Linked DNA regions of Arabidopsis thaliana. The protein of the gene in region 2 interacts with the protein of the main gene of each other region in a biochemical or structural test. Each region holds a gene or a part of one and is shown on either strand. Other genes may lie near its edges. The genes, in order: RPN10 and RAD23B.

Region 1 (11,648 bases), on a different chromosome or scaffold from region 2:
ACTGAATTTTAGGTTTTCTACATTAATTTTCACCCGCCTAAGTTTTACTACAAACTTAATTCATACGATAGGTAAGAGACTCCAAAAAAATAAAAATAAATTACTGTTTGTACTAAATCGGTCGAAGTTAAAAGACGATTTGTCAATAAATGTACACAGTCGAATACTCGAATTGTCATGTATTGATTAATTTCTTGACAGAGTTGGTTTATATTTTGTACTAAATAAAACTTGTTGCAAAGTAAAAAAAGAAAGAAAAAAAATTAAAGAAGTAGCTAAATAATTTTGGTTTATGTATATACGAACACGAGAAATTTCTTTGATTACATATATATATATATATATATATTTAAGTGAGAAATATTAAATTTGTTGTCATGATTATTAAAAAAATGTCATAGCTTTATCAAAAGACTATGATGCCATATATGTCAAGCTTCTCACTTATTGTACCAAAACGAAAGGCCACCATACACTACTCATTCAAATCCATCCCACCAACTCACATCTAGAAGCAATTATAAGTTCAACTCTCTTTCTCTCTCCTTTTCTATCATCTAGAAGCATTTGTGTATATATATATATGTGTGTATATTCCTCTCTAGCTTTAAGTCAAAACCCTATATAAACTATACACCAAAGCTTTGAACCTTCAACCAAACCCAAAATCCAAGTGCCCCACCAAATGCTTCAATCCTCTTCCACTACACAAAAAAACAACTTAATCCCTTTATACCCTTTTAGCCAAAACCCTCGCTAAAAGCCAATCCCTCAATATAAAATAACAAGTAGAATTGATCTGCCTATATATAAGATTTTGAGACGAAATAAGATCTAAACCACAAGAAAGAAAGTAAACATAAAAGTATGGGAAGGTCACCGTGCTGTGAGAAAGCTCACACAAACAAAGGAGCATGGACGAAAGAAGAGGACGAGAGGCTCGTCGCCTACATTAAAGCTCATGGAGAAGGCTGCTGGAGATCTCTCCCCAAAGCCGCCGGACTTCTTCGCTGTGGCAAGAGCTGCCGTCTCCGGTGGATCAACTATCTCCGGCCTGACCTTAAGCGTGGAAACTTCACCGAGGAAGAAGACGAACTCATCATCAAGCTCCATAGCCTTCTTGGCAACAAGTGAGTACTATACTCTCTAAATATGGGCTTATTTAACTAGCTAGTATCGTTTATACCCAAAAAAAAACAAAAAAAACTAGTATCGTTTTAATTTATACAAAATGAAAATCTTGGAGTTTTCAATCTATCTAAATGATGTTATTTTTTGTTGATGATATATAGATGGTCGCTTATTGCCGGGAGATTACCGGGAAGAACAGATAACGAGATAAAGAACTATTGGAACACGCATATACGAAGAAAGCTTATAAACAGAGGGATTGATCCAACGAGTCATAGACCAATCCAAGAATCATCAGCTTCTCAAGATTCTAAACCTACACAACTAGAACCAGTTACGAGTAATACCATTAATATCTCATTCACTTCTGCTCCAAAGGTCGAAACGTTCCATGAAAGTATAAGCTTTCCGGGAAAATCAGAGAAAATCTCAATGCTTACGTTCAAAGAAGAAAAAGATGAGTGCCCAGTTCAAGAAAAGTTCCCAGATTTGAATCTTGAGCTCAGAATCAGTCTTCCTGATGATGTTGATCGTCTTCAAGGGCATGGAAAGTCAACAACGCCACGTTGTTTCAAGTGCAGCTTAGGGATGATAAACGGCATGGAGTGCAGATGCGGAAGAATGAGATGCGATGTAGTCGGAGGTAGCAGCAAGGGGAGTGACATGAGCAATGGATTTGATTTTTTAGGGTTGGCAAAGAAAGAGACCACTTCTCTTTTGGGCTTTCGAAGCTTGGAGATGAAATAATATTGTCAAATTTTAGGCGTAACTGTACAAAACTTTTGCCTAGATAATTTGAAAGTATATCTTCAACTTGTATGAGAAATTTAACTGGTGAATTATAATATATAGAATTTGTTTTTTTTTCTCTTTTACAAATTAACTCCATTGGCATAAATATTAAATACCGGATCTAGACGATCGGTGATAAAAATATAGATCATTAGATCGTATAGCTCTATTGTAATTAATTTGTATACGATTAAGATTATCAGTTTATGAGGTAAGATTAGGTTGGTTGCCCAAATAACTCGTTATCCAATGTTGGAGATAAGCCAAATAAGGAGAAAAAAGATTACGAGTATGGCAAAGATACTTGATCACATAATACTTAGATTGTACTGGTATAGATGATACCTTGTTAAGATCTATAATTAAAGATCTAGGAGAAGAACGTGAAACAGAAGATAAATCGAAAATGTTTCATGACAAGTGGAAAGTGAGGTTTGTAGTTAATTTGGCAGGAATAGAAAAGTTGTAAGAGAAGGAGGTAGGAGAAAACTTAAATGTTTTTAAGATAAAAAAAGGAAAGAAAGAGATATGTGAAAAAGAAAAAGAAAATAATGAAAACCATAAATGAAGGAAAGGAAGCAACAACCAATGGACCCTTTCTTCTACCAAACTCTATTTATTTCTCACTACCCATCTCCCTACCAACCTATATACCAACCTTTCCTCATCTTTTGTCCACTTGCAAGCGATCTACATCTGCATACATACATACATACATACATACATACATACATATTACACATGAATGCATAACATACATATACTGTATATCCATATACCACATAATATATTTATGCATGCATGCATATAAAAATTATGTATAGGAGTTTCATTGAATGTAGCCACATGGTTGAATTTAGAAAGAGTAGCGACTCGTAAACTTAAACATTGTTCTATCGTAAGATGCTTGGTAAAATCGGTGTTGTACATGTTCCTTCGTTGATATCCTCTCCTCAACACTACAAAAACCCTCTCTAGCTACTACATTAATTATCATCTCAAATCCCAATAGAGCAGTATATTATTTCCTCGTATATATTTAGATTTAGTTTTAAAATTGATCAAATGGTTATATACTCCAGTTGTGTGTTTGTTTTTTTGTTTTGGCCAAAAATTGGTAAGATCTCAAAAACTGGTATAATCACTTGAGAAATTATATGATCACCAAATGACAAGTTGTTGTCACTAGCACTGGGGCTTGATATATATCATATTCTGATGAAGATACAAACTCAACAATAATGGAATCAATAAGAGTTTTCTCAGGTTGCATCAACTAATGAAACAAATTTAAAGTTGGAAAAAAAAACAAAATCAGTTGAAGTCTAAAATAAAGTTGAGAACGTTTGATTAATTTCGAACATCGAGATTTAACAGTGGTTGGGTAAATATTATGAAAGTGAAGGAATAACAAAAAAAAACATGTAGAAGTTGATAGAGGAGGATGATATTTTGGAAATGAAAGAGATGGGAGAGGAGGAGTGGTGAGAACTGAAGATAAGGAAAAAGGGGAAAAGGACAAAAGGATGACCACACACACAGACACAAGTGAACAAAGACAGACGCACCTGCCTCCTCTTCCTTCTTCTTTCTAATATTATTCATTTTCATTTGTAAAGAAACGACTTTTTCAAAAGGTGTTAGGTAGATGCAATAGAAGCTTCTATCAGTTTTTCTTCTTTCTTTTTTTTTATGTTATAGTTTGTGAGTCTTGTGACTCTTTTTGTCTTTCCCTTTCTTGCTCTAAAAGGGAACAAAGAAATTTCGTCACTAATAAGTTTCCCCAATAAAAAGTCTTTAACGATAGTCATATTTAGCAATTCAATTTGTTTGTGTAGCATAGTTTACACGTACGTAGATGATCAAAACTACAGCTCGCATGTGGCAATTAGCAGACAAATACACATATCTTGGGATAAATATAAATTAAATAATGCAAATAGATTGCAATTAGCAGACTAATAAGCGCATATAAAAATTAGATTGCAAAGAACAAAAAAACGAGCCAACAGTAGAACAAAGGAATTAAGTACCTAACTGCCACGTGGGACTTTAATTACTTGGAGAAAAACATAACTTCGCAGAAATGTGAGCAAAATTTAATTACCAATGTAGACTTTTTGCACTGTCGTAAGAATATTTCAGATTTGACACTTGTGCAAGGTTCATTACGAATTTAGGACTCGCTATTCTACTGAATTGATCGAGAGACCTGTAACAAATAGGCTTACTTTCTAAGAGCCCATTGACATAAAGTCCAATAAAAATTAAGAAGGAAGCTAGTCCTTGACTCGTACAATAACAACATTATAAAAAGGCGAGAGAGAGAGAAAAAAACAAATTTCACAAGGCAGAGAGATTAGTTAAATTCAGTTCCAATCTCTATCAAACCAAAGAAACAAGAGGAATTTTTATTGAGACTCTCAGATCCTTCTTCACTTCTTCTCATCCTCGCCTTTTTTGCTACTACTCTCTTCCTCCTCGGTACGCTGTCATTTTAACCATATACATTTATCAGAATCTTCTTTTTCAAATAACAAAAAGATGTAATCATAAACATCAACAAAGACACACCTTTGACTCGTCTGGCAGAGACGCTAGTAGTTCTTTAACTGCCGGATCATTTGGATCCACCCCAGGAAGCTGCGTGTACACAAAGTCTTAGTACCAAAGCTAACCCTACTACTTTTCTCTTTCATTTTGCTTGTGAAAAAAACTGACTAAGGTTTATGTAGGCTTACCGATGAGAGAACAGACGATATGAAGGCTTGATTTCCCAAGAGGTTGTTTCCAGCACCTGTAGCTTCACTTGACTCTTCCCCACTCATTGACATTTGCAGAGCTGCACATGGAGTATAAAAAAATATAAGAAAAATGCCAATTTTGATTGCCATGGATATACTTTTACCACACTGTTCTACTTACCTAAAGCCAGATCCTGGTCCTCATCAGCCGCTTCTGACATATTCACATCACCAACAGACATAGCAATTGCCTGATCTAGCAACGCACTGTCCTCATCCTGCCACAAAAGGTTGTATGATTAACAATCTCTCCGCCTGTGACTATATAAGAATGCTACACTCAATTTTAAGTAACAACTAACCATTGGTTCAGCGTTCTTGTCAGTTGTCCTAGCAACTGTCTCCTGTGAGGCGGAAGCTGTGTCCCCATCTTTGTCTTTCTGACCTGCCTCATCGGCCGCCTTCTTGGCAGCAGCTTCTTGTCTTGCTCTCTCCTCCTCCATGGAGACCCGAAGGGCAAGAGCAAGTTCTGGATCGATATTTGGGTCCACACCAAAGTCGAAGTCCCCACCTGCGGCCGCTGCAGCAGCTGCCGCAGAAACATAGCCACTTGCACCCTCATCACCCGTGAATACAGGTGTGCTGGAAGAAAATTTAAAAGTTAAAACACTATCTATGATTCAAATCACTGTCTAAATGTTTTGTTGCAGCATTGATAAAAAGCAAGACTAGAGAGCTCAAAAGACCTAAACACACAAAACCACATGAAGTGCACCTACCAAGCCGGATATTGTTGAAACTGTTCCTTTTACAATCTACATAACCTAGAAAAAAAGAAGAAAAGGGATGGTACCTGAGAAGCACATCTGAGAGAGCATTGGCTCCAGAAGGAACATGAACAATGTGGCTACCGTCATTGTTATTCACAGCTGTAAGGAGCGCCTCGAGTTTCTGAGGCTTTTCCTCATCATCATCCTCCCCGAAATTGACAATATCAAGAGAGACACTATTCTTCTTCAGCCTTTTTCCAACTATCTCTAGGGCCTTCTTCTCGTACTTGATTGGACTAAAAAGTAGAAGCAGAAGAAAAACATCAGTATAAAACTATACAAAAGTTACTCAGCAAAAACAAAGCAATTCGGTACCTTCCAGCAAAAACAATAATCCTTTGGCGTTGATTCTTGTTTTGGCGATGCTTAAGAGCTAGCTGGGCGATCTGGATAGCTGCGGTTAAGTTGATCTCTCCTCCCACATCAAGGCCTGAAAAGATGACGCAAGTAGCAAATTGATGTCAAACTCAATGATAAAGAGAAAGAACAGATTTTTTCTAATTGCTCTAAGTAGACAGCTAATAATAAATAGAAAGATTGGAGAGAGAGATACATACCGTGCATACAGGCCAGAATTTTGCCAAGATCAGAGGTAGGAGTAGTCAATACTCTAACTCCTTTGCCAGCCATTGTCAAAATCCCCACCGTATTCTCCGGATTCGACTGCAATTGCAAAAAAGAAAGATCCCTAAAAATCACAATCTCACGCAAACCCAAAAACCCTAATCGAATCAAGTGAAAAAACGTAAATTATTACCTGGGTTTTGGCTCCGCAAAGAAGATTAACAGCTTCCGTTTGCGCCTGTAACCTAGACGGAGAGTAATCTCCGTTTCGCATCCACTCGGAGTTGTCGATACATATCATAGTCGCCTACAACAAGAAATCATCGATGAGAAAAAGCATTCAACGTGGATCATCAACGAAGATAAGCACAAGTAATTGGAAAATCACCTCGAGAACCATCGTGTCGATAAGCAGAGAGAAGCTTCAAAAATTCTGTCGTAGAGAGAAAGTCAGGAAGGCAAGATTTAGATTTTAGTTTAGACCGATAATAATAACATTGTTCTTCTTTAAATATCCCCTTTACTTTTTTACTTTCTCCTTTTAGACCCTAATGTTTTACGTTTATTTCAATTTAGCCCCAATGGTTGTTTTTGATAAAAAGCAAAACAAAGTTGATTTATTAATGAATAAAAGAAACACAGACCACATTACAGTAATTCCTATAACTAAAGTCTTTCTTTTATTCAACATTGTTACCCCATAACTCTACAAAACATCAATATAAACCCCAAGAAGACAAACCACAGTTCACCAGAGAGGAATTTACAACGGTGCTAACAAACAAAAAAAGATACAACAAGCAGAGACGTTGGATCATCTTCTGCTATGCATTAAGAGCATTTGGGATGAGAGAAGATCTTGTGCTTCTGCTGATAGGCAAGTGAACATAAACCTCGTGAACTTCCTGCTTACATACATCCCCTTTGTCTCTATCAATCGCGTAACAGACATAGATTGTGTCAATCACATCGTCAAGAACATGTACAAAGAAAGCCAATATCACAATCAGTAACACCCACGCCAGTACAGCCACCACGTACGAATCTATACCCAGGTTGCTCACTCCTCTCAGAACAGCCCATGTCTGCTTTTGCGCATCATCAAACCCCGGAATTAGTCATTATGGCAATTATTAAATGCTTGGTTGGTGAGACAAGCAGAAGATAATACTTACCGCGACTGCATATGCGGCTGACAGGACAAAGACTATTCCGGTTAGGATTCTGGTGGAAACCGTTTCGACAAATACAGCTGACAGTAGGTTGCGTCTTAACAGCTCGTAAGTCATTTTCGCAGAGGTGCAATACGCTTCCCCTGTTATTGCAGCAAAGTTGATGGTGAACTTGTTGAGATAGTCAAGGGCACCAAGTAAGGCGTTTGCACAGCAACGGAGAACCATGTTCACTATTCCTTGTGTGTTCTCTTCTCTTGCATTGTCCACAATTGCCCGGACCACACGAACAATGCATATGAGAAGTCCTGATACACATATCGTACCAAAGGATTGACCAAATGCATTCCTGAAGAGACAGATACAAAAAATAATAAGATTCACACATGCTTTGACATAAACCAACAACAGATTTGAAGACTAATGCAAATTTGGATCCTCAAAGCTATAATCTCCTTTCAAAAATACCACTGTCTGTTGTCTCTTTTCACATTTAAAGTACCAAACAAGTTCAGATGATGGATTCCAATACAATATCCAATCTATAAGGCCAAGACTATGAATACCATGACCTAGAATCACTGAATACTCCAGAACGAAGCCAAGCAAGGGATACTTCGAATGACCATAGATTATATTTTATGAGGAAACAAAACTAAGAGAACTCAAAGCAAAAACTCCCGCGATCACACAAAACATATATTAGAACTAAGAGCACCATTGATTGTAAGAGAAACTGCACAGCAAATTCATTGATAACAAGAATAAAATAGAGAAAGATGTGGCAGCGAGTCACCTCAAAGAACTCCGGATGCATTTTTTAGGGATTGAGTCTTCCTTGGAGAAATACCACTGAGCAATAGCTCCACTTATCACATACACTTGCATTTCCACCATTACAGCAAGAGACCAGATCATCGTTAAAATGGCAAGAGCGTAATACGCAGGAACCCAAGAATCTTCTTTCCACTCACAAAAGTACTGACCATCCAACTCTCGCGGCACAAACTTCCCATTAAACCTTGCAAACACCAAGAACACCACAATCGGCGCATAGTACACCACTAACCCGAGAGTCAGCAGCGGCAGCACAACAAAAAGTTTCAAATTTTTGGACAAGGCATCAGATGCAACACTGATGATTTGGATAGTAAGATCAATTCTGTGCCAATTAGCTACTATGATCCAGACAATGATCCCGATGATCAAGAAAACAAAGACTAGGACAAGTATTCTGTAAGCTAGAGGGAGGGCATCGCTACAAGAAGAGCTAAGAGTACAGGCGACAAACCAATAGACATTGAAAAAGATGGGAAAAAGGACAAAGAGAGGTAAACAAGCATAAACAATCTGCTTAGTGTAGTGTTTGAGCAAAAGCAGGACGCTAAAACAGAAGGGCACGCTTAAAATAAGCGTTACAACAAGTGTCCAGATCAAATCCTTCTCAAAGACTGGATCAGACGAAGAAACCATGCCGTACATGACACTCGAAGAAGCCCAGTAGTACCCATCCGAAATTTTCGTAAAGGTAGAATTTTTGACGCAGGAGCTAGAGGTGAAATCGTAGGTGAAGGAAGAGGAGTTCCCGTAATCGTTATTTCTATGAAAAATGGAGAAGATTCCAAAACCAAAGGTGGAGAGTACGAGAAGATCGAAGAGAAGTAGGAAAGGGATGTCCTTGAAAGTTCTTGGGCCAAAATTGTAGGAGATCTGAAGAAACTGAGTTGGGTCGGATTCGGGATCACTTCGACGCGGAGAATCGAGAGCGGACGTGGAGGGTTTAGAGAGAAGAGGGTGTGACGGAGAGGATGAGTCGTAGATTGCAGCGAATTTAGTGGGGTCGCCGTCGTCCGCCGCCATGGTCGTCCACAGAGAGAGAAGAAAGCTCCGCCTCTGGAGCTAAATGATGAAGAAGCTTAAGCAGAAGCAGAAGACGACGAAACTCAATTTAGCATTTTTTCTTAATCACAATAATTAATTAGTGACGATGCCGACGACCACCGCCCAAGCGGCCAAGCGAAGATGATCCAAGATCTCGCCACCACAATGCTCAAATTTAATTCGTTGATTAGTCACGTATACAGGTATTATACCGTCCAAAGGAGTATTATTATCTTCATGTGCATTAAAATATTAGTATAGTTTCTTTTACCAGTATTAAAAGAAAAATTCACGAAGACATTGAGACGGGCTTCGAAGAAAGTCTGATAAGAGAATTCTCAAAGCCCAACTAGCCGTATTAAAGCCCAAATCATCGCATGCAAGAGTAATAGTCCTAACTCCTAAGGAGCGTGTGACTGCATCACAAGGGCAGATACGTTTGTTAACTTGGGCCCAATTGTCACTTGTAAAGCTAAATCTTTGAAATCTTTTGAGAGTTTAAACTTTAAAGATATGAAATTTAGCTAAATTCGTACAAATTTATATCCAAATGTTGACAACAACGTAATCTAAAAATGCATAGACGACAATATTGGTTTCCCTTTGTATCAACTAACAAAATTAATTTTTAAAATTTTGGTGGTTCTTTAGTTATGGTAATTGGTTCCTTTTGTATTGTTTTCCAAATATTTGAGTTCTATAAAATAAGAAATTAAAAACATTAGTACAAAATCTTGTAAATTTAAATTTCGAATCAAACTAAATATGTTAATTCAAAATCTCTAACTTTTAATTATATATTTTATAATAAAGTAAAAAACTATATTCAATATTTTTATTATCAGATATATCCATCTCCTATAGAAAACAAATCTGGATCGTAGCGTGAGTTTGCATTTTGCAGGCGTGAGAGTTTTTTGCACGCACACACACACAAACACAAAACAAGCAAATGGTAAGATTTAGGTAAGAAACTTGTAACCAAAGCATGCATCAACCCGTGGTACTCTAATAGGCTAGTATCTATATAAAAGCACAACTTCACATGACAAAAAAAACCACTTCGCATATAACAACATCATCACGTGAACTCACTCAATAGGTTCAGTGTTTCTGACATATTGTTCCCTCTCTGAATGAAACTCTCCCAAATAGAGAATGGCCTAACCACCTATCCAACCGCATCAAGGCACTTGGTTTCATCCCCTTGATTTCTCTCTTTTTTTCTTTTCCTATCGCAGGATTTTGTGTTCTTGTTTTGAATATGAAATGTTCGTCGATGTGTTGTTTGATCCTCTTGGCCCTTTCTCTCCTCACCGCCTTCACTCTTGCTTCTTCGTCAAATGGTACACACAAGTATATTATAGCATACCATAGTATATAACATACATGTATACAGAATTTTAGCTTGATATATGATGTTTTTACTCTTCAGGTATAGATGGACCTTTCTACGACTCTACTGCCTACACAGAGGTTTTTAAAGCTTTGAGCTATTAATTCAATTTCACAAGATATGTAATTGCGCATAGATAGAAAGTATATATACATTATGTGGTATGTGAAATGCAACAGTGTAGAGCCGAAGCAGAGAAGCCACTATACAATGGAGGAATGCTGAAGGACCAAAAGCCTTCCGTCCCAGGCAAAGACTCTCTCACAGGCATTGGTGCTCATTACACACCAACTTACATATTGCACAATCTCACACAGAACACCATCTATTGCTTCTCCAGTTAAGCATTTCATGCTTTCATCTCTAGAATGTTATATATTCGTTAACAGATGAAATGAATGTGATGATCTGACTGATGGACACAGTATGGGTGAAGATAGAGGCTGGTGCTGCATCAGCTCATGTAAGAGCAAGGCTGAGAGCAGACAACGCCACATTAAACTGCGTCGGTTCTGTAACTGCCAAACATGGTTGCTGGTCTTTCCTCAAAGGAGGATTCCTTCTTGATTCTCCTTGTAAACAATCCATCCTCTTCTTTGAGGTAGATTCTATATATGCTCAAAAGTATCTCATTAGCTTAGATGATCCCAAAGACTGTAAATTTTCTGATAATGCAGACATCAGAGGACGATGGTAAGATCCAATTACAAGTGACGAGTGCCTCTCTTCAGCCATTCACGCAGGAGCAATGGAGGAACAACCAAGATTACTTCATAAATACCGTAATACACACACTAATTTCTAACGTTAAAATCGCAAACTACATTCTTTATGTGGTTCCTCCTTAACACTTATTTTCAGGCGAGAAAACGAGCAGTGACAATTCACGTGTCAAAAGAAAACGGAGAGAGCGTTGAAGGAGCAGAGGTGACAGTAGAGCAGATCTCTAAAGACTTCTCCATTGGATCTGCCATCTCCAAAACTATCCTTGGAAACATTCCTTACCAAGTAAAAGACACTCGCTAAAGTCTACACTAAAACAACAATGTCTTTGCTTCTTCAAACGGATTCTGTTTTGATAGGAATGGTTCGTCAAGAGATTCGACGCCACGGTATTCGAGAACGAGCTGAAATGGTA
Region 2 (12,106 bases):
ATTTCCCCATGAGATGCTGATTGATAATATTCAACATTATAGCTACTGGCTATCTACTTAGATCTACATATCTAACCTTTATTGCCTGAACACGATTAACAAGATCTGGTAACCCATCCAGAAGTTTTCGTGCAATGTAATCGCTTGATCTTGCTTGCTTGAAAAAGGAGTGCTTTAACAACTTTTTTGCAGACGGGCGTTTGGAAGGGTCTTTAACTAGACAACTGGCGATCATCTGCTTGAAAGACTGAAAATACCAGGAAGAAAGGCAAAATTGAGATGACAATAGCCAAACATTCTGACCATAATATATAGTTTTAAAACCGAGAATATACCCTGGAAAACTTCTTATCTCTTTCGTAATCCAGCCCTGGTGGTGCATTTTGCAACGTCATAAGCAGAACCTGAAAACATATTTGGTTTAGATAGAAGCAAAACTTTTGGAGATGAAATCCAGGTATCACAGGCTATGAACCTTCATTGGTGGATATTTAGAGAAAGGAGCGTGACCATGAGCAAGCTCTAGCCCAGTTATACCAAACGACCAAATATCAGCCCTGAAGGAGATGCTCCAAATAAGATATACTATATATTCATCCAATAAGCGAATAAATAGAATGATATAACTTTGTATAAGGCTAAACTAACTTGAAGTCATAACCATGTAGCTGCTCCATGACTTCAGGTGCCATCCTGTGACAAGAAGAAATAGTAGTAGGTCATGCACATGAGAACTAACCTCAAACACTGTTAATGTCCTCCACACAAAAAAAATATAAGAAGGTATTGGGGGCAGTAGTTAGCAACTAGCGTGGGTACTTACCAGCAAGGTGTTCCAACAAATGTGTTCCTTGTCCGTTGCCTATCACCTGAATCAAAGAGACAGGCAGATACACCAAAGTCTCCCAACTTGACTGCACCTCGAGCACCAAGCAATATATTCCCAGCCTGAAATGAAAACATAAAGATATAGTCACAACGTGTAAAGTTGACAGAGTCATTTGATGATAAACACAATTCAAAACCACAAGATTACAAAGTAAGATGAGCTAAAAGAATTGCCAAGTGAAGTGAAATCCAGACAGGTGGAATAACTGACTTTGACATCGCGATGAATGTGGCCATGCTGATGGAGATAGTCTAATCCCTTCAAAGCTTCACGCAATATAGTAGCTATAATAGCTTCTTCAAAACCATCAGGATATGCAGCTTTTAGAATGTGAAGACAAGAACCACCAGACATGTATGGCATGATGACCCACAAATTGTGATCACTAACAAAGGAACAATGTGACTTCAACACATTGGGATGATCAACAAGCATCATCGTCTGCGCTTCACGAGAGATGTTGTTCTGCCCCCAAATCAATAAAAAAAACGTAATCACTTTAGATACAATGCAAATTACAAAAACACAAAAAAAAATCCAGATTCAGAGTCAGAGAACAAGAGAATATATATAATCACCAGATCGCAGTTATCGCGTTCAAAATCAAGAATCTTAATAGCAACGACTTCATCAAACGGAATGCACAAAGCACGATGCACTAGAGCACTAACACCTTGTCCAATAAACTCGTAGAGAGTATAATGCTCTGGTCCAATTGGATACTTCTTCTTCTCCATTGTCTAGATCCTTTGGTTTCACTGAAACCACAATTCAGAAAACTCAATATCTTGTTTCAAATTCCAAATCTCTTCAGCAACAAAATTAGGGGAGAATCAAAGATTACCTGGAATTGAGAGGCGGAAACAAAAACGCAGCTGGTTACAGTGGAGTAAATCTACAGAATAAATTCAAAAAAAAAAAGGGAAACAAATAAGATTCATAAAAAACCTAAATCTCGTCGCAATAACTATTCGCGTAACGGTGGGAAGCGAAATTAAAAACAATATTAGTACCGGGAAAATTACGACACCCATGTAAAATAATCAAGAAACAAATTAATGAGAAGAGTGAGAGAAAAGGAAAGAGACAGATATCGTGCTGATGAAGATATTGAACGATGATGATGATGATGATCTTCTTATTAAGTTTTTTTGTCTACTTTCTATCAAAATTTTCTGGAGAAAGAAAACGAGAAAAAACGAGAGAGAATGAGAAAGAGAGAGTCACAATCGGATCGCCGCTCAAATGGGGAGAAGCTTTTTGGGCTCTGTTAAATTTGGAATCCCGCCACTTTAGGTCTCTTTCTGCTTTTTTGCCCTTTTCTCCCTTCAAATTTCCTTTTTTTATTGCTATTTATTTTCTTTTGTTAAAAAAAAAAACTGACCGTCTACGTCTCATTAATTGTTTAACCTAGAATGGATAAGGAACACTTAATCAATTTGATTAATTTTCTGGTGAAATAACCGATTCCGGTTTATGAGCTTTACCAATGCAAGAAAATTCAAAATCGTAATTTATCAATCAAATTTCTGAATTTGCACCAAACCAACCGGTAGAAACCAGATGAAACCGGAGACGCTACCTAATTAACCCAAAATGTATGATATCAGCACAACACTTCATTTCTGGTAACGAAATTGAGAAATTCGGGATTTGGGCTAATACCAGAGAAGCCATCGGTTTTCCTGAACCAAATAAAACCGGTCTCCACCTAGTGTATCTTACTTATCACCGGAAAATCCGTGTTTTGGCAATTAATCACAACAACATAGGAACATGTTGGTTAGGATAAATATCTATCGATTACACTTTATGTTTATCCCTCGAGAATTATGTGATCACACTTTTGTATCTCTCTGCTTCAATATCTATCACAAACGTAACAACCGCCCCCATCGCAAACGGAGAAAATAATATTCAAAACAAAAAAAGGACAAACTAAGTCACAGAGAGAGAGAGATCAAATCCCACACATTAATTCACGGAAGATATGTAATTCAACGTAAGAAAAGAGCCAAAACTTTTTCGAAGAAGAGATAACGTTTTGTGAACTCAGTCTTCAAAGTCACCTGAGTTCTCCAATAGATAGTTAGCTGCCAATTCTTCATTTCGGTCACATGCGAGGAACGCTTCTATTACTAAGGCTCTATCAAATCCCATTGCCTCGAGCTGTTAGATAGGCCAGAGGCCAGGGATATAGTTAATAAGGGTTGCAAAGAAAAAAGTGTGGAAACAGAGTGTTACTATTAATGGTGTTTTACCCGTTGAATCGCTTCTTGTTCTGCTGGGGTAACGTTAATGGCATGTGGCATTTCTTGCTCGGGTTGATCGAACATGTCCCCCTCCCTGATGAGTTATGTTTTTAAACTTTGTGAATCAAATTATTTAGTTTAATGAAATATCAATAAGAAGCATATAATTACATCTGACAGAACCTTAGATTACAATAAACAGATTGGAGGACTCACCCGTCAGAACCCTCATAGGGCTCATTTACTAACTGAAGAAACTCTGCCTGGTTTTCTTGAATTAGCCTCAGAAGTTGAGGGTTTTGCTTTCCAAGTTCCTGAAGCATGGGCTGGTAACAAAAGCAGTTGTTCCAACATAAGAGGTTCGGAATCAGTGAGAAGTCTTACAAACTACTGGACCAGGATAACGAAAACTAGACGAGTCTTACCTGAAGAATTTGAGGGTTGGAATGGACCATGGTGCGTAATTGTTGGAACTAATGTAATAGCAAATACAAGAGAATGAGTATATGGAGTAAATTTACAAAAGTTAGAACGAACAGTCAAAGCATGTTAATATCATCTCGGTTAATCATCCCTTGATAGAATGGCTATACCAGACAAACAATCTCCACATAAGTTGATCAAATGTGGTTCTAACCAATCTAGATGCCTTTTCATATTCACAATCGGTCAAGAATGATGAGGAGAGATCCAAATAGTTAAAAGATAAGAACTTCGCAATTTAGGGAAAATGCAGATATAGTTAGAATAGCAACCTGGTCATTGTTTCTAAGAAATTCAAGTGTCCCAAGATCTCCAGAGCCAGCAGCAGCAACTGTTTCCTGGGGAAATTAAGCCACAGAGTGAGATGGTAACTAAATATACCTTTCAATTCTATTGGATACACAATTAATACAAAAGTACCTGAGGAAATAAATCCAAAGGAGATGAGTTAGGTCCTCCAGATGCAGGTGCAACAGGGGCTGCACCGGATCCTGCAATCTGAGCCTCAGGTACTGGCACAGCTACTTCAGCAGTTTGAGGAATTCCCTAATATAAGAAAAAAATTGTCAATAATTTCATCCTTTGAACCTTTAGCGAATAATGTTACAGAGAGAGCCCATACAGAGTACAAATAATCCACTGCTCTCTCAGGGTTGTTATAAGCTGCACGAAGTGCACGAGTAACTGTTTCTTTGTCCCAACTTCCACCTCCCATTTCCATTATCTGTTGGACCATTTGCTCAAGACTACTACCACTAACTAATGTTGACGCAGCTTGTCCATAGGTGTCAGTCTGTGCCCTGCCACACCATTCAATTGTGGAGACTATAATGTATTAATGAATCCACAACAACTAAGTTATAAAACTTATACTAGAGGTCAAACATGGAAACTTTTGGAAAACCATATAAGGGGCAAAAGGCAAGCCCTGCAAAAGAAAAGACGAAAGCATAGACACTAGAAAGAGAGAGAGAGAGGTAGAGAGAAAAGAGCTCTAAATAATCTCATTTTCCAATTATAAACTTACGCCGGTTGTTCTTGAGCAGGAATAGGTGAAGCAGGAACAGGTGAAGACTGGGTTGTAGATGGAGCTGCAGGCTGGTTTTCCAAGACGTGTTTGTATTAAAACAACCAGTATAACAAGCTGCTCATCGCATATTTCAACAAATAAAATATATGCAAGAAAGTTACCTTAGTCGAAGATGTGGTAGCGGAAACAGGCTGTGAAACAGAAGAAGTCTGACACACTAAGAATCATCAGAATAAGCCAATGATGTGAAAATATGAGAAATAAATAAATTACCTGAACCGAAGCCTGACCAGCTGAACCTCCAGATTTGCTCTACAATTCATCAATAACCAAAGGAAAAGACAATGTCAGTGCCATTACAAGATAAATGATGTTTCATAGGTAGGAAACAATCATGAAAGAGACATCTAGGAACATATGCCTAAAGACACTTATTCATCAGCTTTTATCCTTGTTTAAGGTAAATAAGAAGACTGATTTGTTGAAGATAAAAGAAGTATGATCTTTGCAGTAGCCAGATTTGAACTGTTACCTTGCTAAGCATAACGACGAGAAATCCTTCCTCCGTAACTTTGTTCTCCACCAGGCTAGTTTCATCTTTCAAAACTTTTCCATTGTGAATCAACAATTGCTGCCCACATGGATAATTGTCTTTTCCTTGTGAATCTTCTATATTCTTCTTCACCGCCATTATCTTAAAAACAAGCACATCATGCCCAGATTTAATGATTTGAAGACTAACATAATCAACTTGACCAAACCAGATTGGATTCGCGAGTCATAATTTTAGCAGTTAATAAAGCTATTAAACACTTATAGAATAAAAAAATTTGATCACCAAACATTCAAAATTGTGGATCTGAGTCTCTTCTATGTGAGATTCCTACTTCTCTCTACTATACTAGGCGAAAATTACGTAAACGCATGGACGAAGAAAGTAGAACTAACCGTATCGGAGGGTAAAACCCTAATTTCAAAATGACTGCCCTTGAGAGTTTTAACGGTGAGCTTCATATCGTCGGAAAAATTGAAATCGACGGCGAGATACGACGGCGGAGAGAGTGTACAGAGAGAGACAGACCTAAGAAAAGCTCAAATCAAGAGATCGAGGCCCCGACGCTAGAGAAAAGCTGACCGTAGCTAAAACAGTCTCTCTCTCTAGCAACAGAGCGTTTTGGATTTCAAACGCGGCAAGAGATCGCCATGTGCAATCCACGTGACACATGCATCTCCAATTCGGCCCAGCTGGTCACAATTCTACATGCACCAAAGAAATATTAATAGCCCAGTAAGGCCCTATGTTAGTGGGCTACGCCCTTTAAATGACATTAAATTAGACTAACACAAAACAGTTCTGGTTAGTATGAGTAATAATAATTAAGTTTTGTTGTCGGTATTTAGCAATCAATTTTCTAAGGATATACTTTGACATTTAAATCAATAGAGAGTCATGTAATGTCGGTCGAGGACTTAAAAGCCAGCTAGAATAATAACAACCCCACATGGGACATTTATAAAAAGGTCACACAAAGTAAGTAAGTGGAAAATAACTCAATTCCAGACCAACCCAACACGCAATTTAATTCTCTCTAATCAATTTAGTTCCTAAATATCCGGTTTTTGAGAAGAAACCCGCGTTTACCGGCGAATCGGCTCTTTACTCTCTAGCCGGAGACGAGATCTACAATTTTGACGACTCTGCCTAAGATATAGCAATTATTGGGAGCTGCACGAAGAAGATTTTATTTGGTCGACGGAGCTGGAATCAGCTATTCTTTCTTCTTCTCCCTAATCGTTTCTTTTAGCAGCTCTTTCTCTCTCACCCGAAGGTTCGTTATCTCTTTTCCTGATTCGATCCGTTTCTTTTTATTTATTTTGCGTCATGTTTTGAGTTTTCTTCTGTTGGATCGTCTAATTCGTTTTAGTTTCGAATAAAATGGATGATCCAGATTTACTAAGCTTGTTTATAATCCCACATGAAAGATTAATCTCGTCTTAAAATTCGTCGACAAATCGTTTGTTTTGAAATTTGGCAATGTTACATGTTTTACATCCCATTGTTTATCTCGTATCTGCAATTTTATTTTTTGAAGAAGCTTTTGGTTTATGAACTCAAAACTTGTGTGTCATTTTTCAGGTTGGTGTTAAGCTGGAAAGGTTGGTCTTTTAGAAGATATGGTTCTTGATGGGATTGTATCATCACCATTACGGAGGCCACATGCTCTTAAGAAGCAATGGGATGACTTGGGTAGCTGCTCTACTGTTGTCCAGAGGCATCGTTTCCTTTTGACTGCTATGCTTCTTTTGGCATTCCTCTGCACCATTTATATCTACTTTGCCGTCACACTAGGCGCTAGGCACTTGTTGTGCTCAGGGATGACTGGAAAAGACAAGGCAATGTGTCAAATGGAACACATCCAAGCCAGTTTCTCCAACGGAAAACTGAAATTCTTCTAGAGTGTCAGCCTAAGCTGATTGCATTATATAAACATTTGTCTCTCTGTTGAAATGTGTGTGTAATCGCCTAAAGAATGGCTTGTAAACCCATCAGAATCTACACGTACCTTATTCTACTTTGATTATGTCCCAAGATTCACAGTTATTGTACAAATATGAATCTTCTGTAATCGAATATATATGCTAAAAGTTTTGGAGAATACAAGTTTTTTTCTTTGACATCATCAAATTTTTTATTAATAAAGAATGGAACATTGAGAGAATTTGTTATCACAGCACTTTGTACATTTGCAGTGTTTTAGGTTCCATCATCACCATGTTCGTTGAGGAACCAGCGGTTCAACGTCTAACTTGGGCGATAAATCAAAGAGGGAAGCTGGAGCAGTCATGTCGACGCTCCAAGAATCATCCATGTTGATTTCCATGGCGCATTCTTCTTCGTCCTCCTCTTCAATATGTAACTCCAAATCTTCGGGTGATGAACGGATCCTCTCAAGCTCAACTGAAACCTCTCTCATATTTGGTCGTTTCTTCCCTTTTAGACTTAAACACCTTCTGGCAAGTTTCGCCACAGCCAACACTTGTTCCAACGTGCAACCTTCTTTGATCCGAGAATCAACAATATCAAGAACTCTGTTCTGTTTCATAGCCTCATTGAAATGAGACACAAGTCCTCTGTTTTCTTCGGGCCGCATTACAGAAAACGGCTTTTCTCCAGTTATGAGCTCAACCAAGACGACCCCAAAACTATAAACATCACTTTTATCCGTAAACTGGCTAGTTTGAAAGTACTCTGGATCCAAGTATCCAAAAGTACCTGCAACTAGAGTAGTCAAGTGAGTTTGATCTACGTTTATGGATCTCGAGGTCCCGAAATCCGATACCTTGGCTCTATACTTCTCATCCAAAAGTATGTTTGTGGTCTTGACATCTCTATGATAGACCGGAGTTGATGCAGCCGAGTGCAAGTAAGCAAGTGCTCCTGCAATCTCAACAGAGATGCGCAATCGCACATCCCAAGTCATAGTGTAATCATCAGAATCATGGTGAAGCCGCTTGAATAGGTCTCCATTTGGAATATGTTCATAAACCAAGATAGGAACCTCTGTCTCGAGACAACACCCCATGAGTTTGACAATATTTCTATGGTTAATCTGCGAGAGAACACCAACTTCATTGATAAACTCCTCAACTTTATCTTCATCTAAAACTTTAGATCTTTTCACAGCAACAATTCGCCCATCTACCAACATTCCTTTGTAGACAGTGCCTTGACCTCCTTGCCCAAGAACCCTGTTCATATTGAAGTTATCCGTCGCTTTCTCCAGCTCTTTCGAACTGAATATCTTCGATGACTGCACATTACCTCCTCTTGTAGTTAACTGTTGTTTCAACAACAAGCCTCCATTACGTTTAAAGAACATTCTCTTTCGGATAATCTTCCTTCTCTTCTTAACGAACTTGATCAATCCCCATATCCCAAGTACCAAGAACAACAGTGGAAAACCTAGAACAAGACCTGCACAAGGACGAAAGAAAACTATAAAGATCATCACTCTTTTTTGCTCTGTGATATGACTTTGGAATCTGGAAAAGAACTCCATTGATTCACCTGGAAACAGAGGCTTGATCTTCCCTACTCCATTCAGCTCGCACCTCCACGATCCAGGAACATTCACACAAGTTAGTTCTCCACAGCTGCTTAGTCCTTTTCCTTCCTCACATTCGTCAATGTCTTAAAAACAAAATGAACAAAAAAGGCTGAATCAACACATCCGTAATCACTTAATTAAAACCCCATTGAAGCCAAATAGACGAAGAAACACATAAATCTTACCAATGCATCCACCAGGAAGATAAGGATTCCCTCTGTAACCAATCTGATTGCAGTAACAGTTACTGTAACCAAAGCCAGAGAAGTTACCATACTCACAAACACAGCTCGGTGCGCTCGTGTAAATCCCTGTTTCCGTCAAATTCACACAACCCACAGGATTCGTTAACCGAGAATCTGATGTATCAAAGTACCAACCAAGCTCAATCACCGTAAACCCATTAGTATAAAATTGTTCCGGCTCTGTAACATTCGCCGGAGAGTAAGTCTCATTCGTCAAGAAAGCAACTTTACAGTTTCCTCCTTGAGTTGTGTTACCACCGGAGCTTTCAAGGTCAACGCCGATTACTTGCGGTCTATCCGCCGGAATCTTCGCCTGACAACATGTGTAACCACCGCAGATCTTGTCTAAACGACTCTTATCTCCGTCGCAGCTCGATTCGCATCCTGTGATCTGAGATTCGATGTCTGTAATCAATGCTCTGTTGTCACAACCAACTGAGACGAGACGATTCGAGTCGGTGATGAAAAAGGGACTTCCTTTACCGGTGAGGTTTAAAGGAAGAGGCTTTACGGGTCGTTGAGAACAGCCGGAGGAAGTCACCGGAGATTTAATGTGAACAACTCCGTAGGAACTGTCGATGCTGCTTCGAAGAGTGATGCTAACTAATTCTCTGTTGATCTTATAGAGGAACGGAGCTAAGGATTTACCGGAGGTGGTGCTGTTACAGACAACCTCGTACCAGTCGTTGAGAAAACAGTCTCTTCGTCCGATTCCAAAAGGAAAAGGAATCTCGATTCCTCCACAGATACGGTTACATGAAGTTGAAGAAGAAGGTGGAGATTGAGCTGTCGTTATCAAAGGACCATTGATGAACAGAGTTAGGATAGAGAGTAGAACAGAGAAAAAAAGTCTCCTTCTCTTCATTTTTTTTTTCTCTAATGACTTTTATGTATGAAAGTTCTATTTTAGAAATTATTGAGCCGTCTCGTTGGAATTTGGAAGTTCTATTTTGTCAACGGTCAAGGGATCAATTATCATTACAAGTTTACACAACTTATTGTCCAAATCAATTTTGTAATTTTTCATAATTAGAATCTTAATTTTAGTTATACGATTTTACTATCATTTTTTTTCCCAGATGATATAACAAAGTTGATTATTCACATAGATTATTAATATCAGGAAATTGACTATTCACCAACGCAAATCATTCATATGTGTGCAATGGAAAAGTTGACTATCTTAATTCTTAAACTAAAGGATCCTTTTCATCAGTCGAAATTTCTAAATTATGTTGGTTAAGGTTCCATCACATTGTCAATTAACATAATTTCTGTTAAACCGAAATGAATTGGTCATTGAGTCGAATCGGATTAAGGTTCAACATGATCCATGATCTGACCGGATTCACAAAATTCTCATATAATTGTAGTATAAATTTTTTTTTAAAAACAGTCTCAACGGTTTTATGTTTTGGACATGTATAATTATGTAAGAGAGCCCATGTCCAGATAACAAATACTTGAGTAAATTCTGTAATAATTATTGCCAAAATATTTAAAGAAGTAAACTATGAAATTATTCTTATGTATTGGGAAGTGTATAGTACAAAGTACAAACTACAAAGTGGTTACAAACAGATCTGTATGGTTAATAACACAAATTGACGAGTGACGACATTTATAGAAATAACTTCACACGTAAAGACCAAAACAGAACGTAAATGCAAAGATATGAGGTAGTAATAAATTTGTTTGCATGCATGGTTAATATATTACCGAGGAAACAATGGTTCAACATCTGACCGCGACGAAGATGTTGTAGCAATGCTGTATTGAGATGATGCGGCGGTAACACTCACGTAGTTTCTCGACTCTACGTTAACGTCCACTAATGTTTCTTTTTTTTCTTCTTCGTTTTCGCTAGCATACTCATACGGCTGCATATCTTCAGAATATGAACGAATCTTCTCCAATTCCATCGATACTTGTCTCATACTTGGTCGTTTCCTTCCCTTCATATTCAAACATTTCCTTGCAATTTTTGCGGCTGCTGTCACTTGATTCAACTTACAACCATCTCTTATTCGAGCATCAATAATGTCGGAGAGTCTGTTCTCTTTCATTGCAAGAGTGAAATAAGTTGCCAATGTCCTATATTCCTGAGATCGCAGAAAAGAGACTGATTTTTCTCCAGTGATTAGCTCCGCTAGCACGACTCCAAAGCTATAAACATCACTTTTGTCTGTGAATTGGCTCGACTGGAAATACTCTGGATCCATATATCCCACCGTGCCTGAAACTACTGTAGTGAGGTGGGTATGATCCACGGTCACCGTTCTTGAAGTACCAAAATCGGACACTTTGGCTCGATGTTTCTCATCTAACATTATGTTTGTAGACTTGATGTCTCTGTGATAGATTGGAGATGATGCAGCCGAGTGCAAATATGAAAGCGCTCCTGCAATATCTACAGCAATACGAAGACGCACTTCCCAAGTAGTCATCGTATAATCATCGGAATCATCATGAAGATGCTCAAAAAGGTTACCATTAGGAATGAATTCGTAGACTAGAATAGGGACATCTGTCTCTAGGCAACACCCCAAGAGTTTTACGATGTTCCTATGGTTGATTTGTGAGAGAATGACGACTTCGTTGATGAACTCTTCTAGCTTGTCTTCGTCTACGACTTTGGACTTCTTTACTGCTACTATTCTACCGTCTACAAGCATTCCCTTGTACACTGTACCTTGACCTCCTTCGCCTAGTATTCTGGTTAAGCTAAAGTTTTCGGTGGCTTTCTCCAACTCTCTTGAGTTGAACACTCTTGTACTGTCCACGTTGCCTTCAGTTGTAGTCAATTGTTGTTGCAACAATAAACCCCCATTACGCTTAAAGAATTTCTTCTTTTGGTTTAACCTCCTTTGTCTTCTAATAAATTTGTATAACCAGTATATTCCACCAATGAATACCAATGTGCTGAAACTAGTGCTAAGCCCTACAAACCCACAAAAGAAAAATGAAAAGCAAAATACATTTTCTATATGGCTCAACACTATTTGTACACAATCTTATATATGTATATATAAAAGAAAACTTTAGATAGATGTGAGTGTACTTGAGATGAAAATTTTCATGACTTACCTATAACAAGT

Evidence for each region.
Region 1: the proteins of RAD23B (region 2) and RPN10 form a complex in vitro, tested with the Arabidopsis thaliana proteins (one study listed by BioGRID).

The regions. Positions count from the first base shown.
Region 1 is NC_003075.7:18,052,999-18,064,646, forward strand, and holds RPN10 (regulatory particle non-ATPase 10), read right to left. Parts: upstream 6,601-11,648; 5' UTR 6,462-6,600; coding exon 6,450-6,461; intron 6,369-6,449; coding exon 6,255-6,368; intron 6,161-6,254; coding exon 6,055-6,160; intron 5,928-6,054; coding exon 5,813-5,927; intron 5,734-5,812; coding exon 5,521-5,733; intron 5,310-5,520; coding exon 5,030-5,309; intron 4,946-5,029; coding exon 4,849-4,945; intron 4,766-4,848; coding exon 4,665-4,765; intron 4,567-4,664; coding exon 4,498-4,566; intron 4,413-4,497; coding exon 4,359-4,412; 3' UTR 3,990-4,358; downstream 1-3,989. Other genes in the region: MYB4 (myb domain protein 4), read left to right, coding at 868-1,130, 1,293-1,878; AT4G38640 (Plasma-membrane choline transporter family protein), read right to left, coding at 6,886-7,146, 7,237-7,582, 8,030-9,093; AT4G38650 (Glycosyl hydrolase family 10 protein), read left to right, coding at 10,379-10,460, 10,550-10,590, 10,690-10,849, 10,936-11,111, 11,188-11,292, 11,372-11,518, 11,593-11,648. UniProt on the Arabidopsis thaliana protein: Plays a role in maintaining the structural integrity of the 19S regulatory particle (RP), subcomplex of the 26S proteasome.
Region 2 is NC_003070.9:29,969,465-29,981,570, forward strand, and holds RAD23B (Rad23 UV excision repair protein family), read right to left. Parts: upstream 5,818-12,106; 5' UTR 5,669-5,817; coding exon 5,603-5,668; intron 5,349-5,602; coding exon 5,187-5,348; intron 4,967-5,186; coding exon 4,928-4,966; intron 4,864-4,927; coding exon 4,816-4,863; intron 4,723-4,815; coding exon 4,652-4,722; intron 4,582-4,651; coding exon 4,510-4,581; intron 4,425-4,509; coding exon 4,247-4,424; intron 4,171-4,246; coding exon 4,045-4,170; intron 3,963-4,044; coding exon 3,897-3,962; intron 3,615-3,896; coding exon 3,567-3,614; intron 3,468-3,566; coding exon 3,358-3,467; intron 3,236-3,357; coding exon 3,151-3,235; intron 3,059-3,150; coding exon 2,942-3,058; 3' UTR 2,644-2,941; downstream 1-2,643. Other genes in the region: AT1G79640 (Protein kinase superfamily protein), read right to left, coding at 77-247, 336-404, 476-557, 649-693, 824-948, 1,100-1,354, 1,468-1,626; AT1G79660 (ephrin-A3 protein), read left to right, coding at 6,830-7,111; RFO1 (Wall-associated kinase family protein), read right to left, coding at 7,423-8,630, 8,724-8,846, 8,949-9,873; WAKL10 (WALL ASSOCIATED KINASE (WAK)-LIKE 10), read right to left, coding at 10,724-11,949, 12,096-12,106. UniProt on the Arabidopsis thaliana protein: May be involved in nucleotide excision repair. Binds and presumably selects ubiquitin-conjugates for destruction. Prefers multiubiquitin chains rather than single ubiquitins, with a binding affinity for 'Lys-48'-linked ubiquitin chains.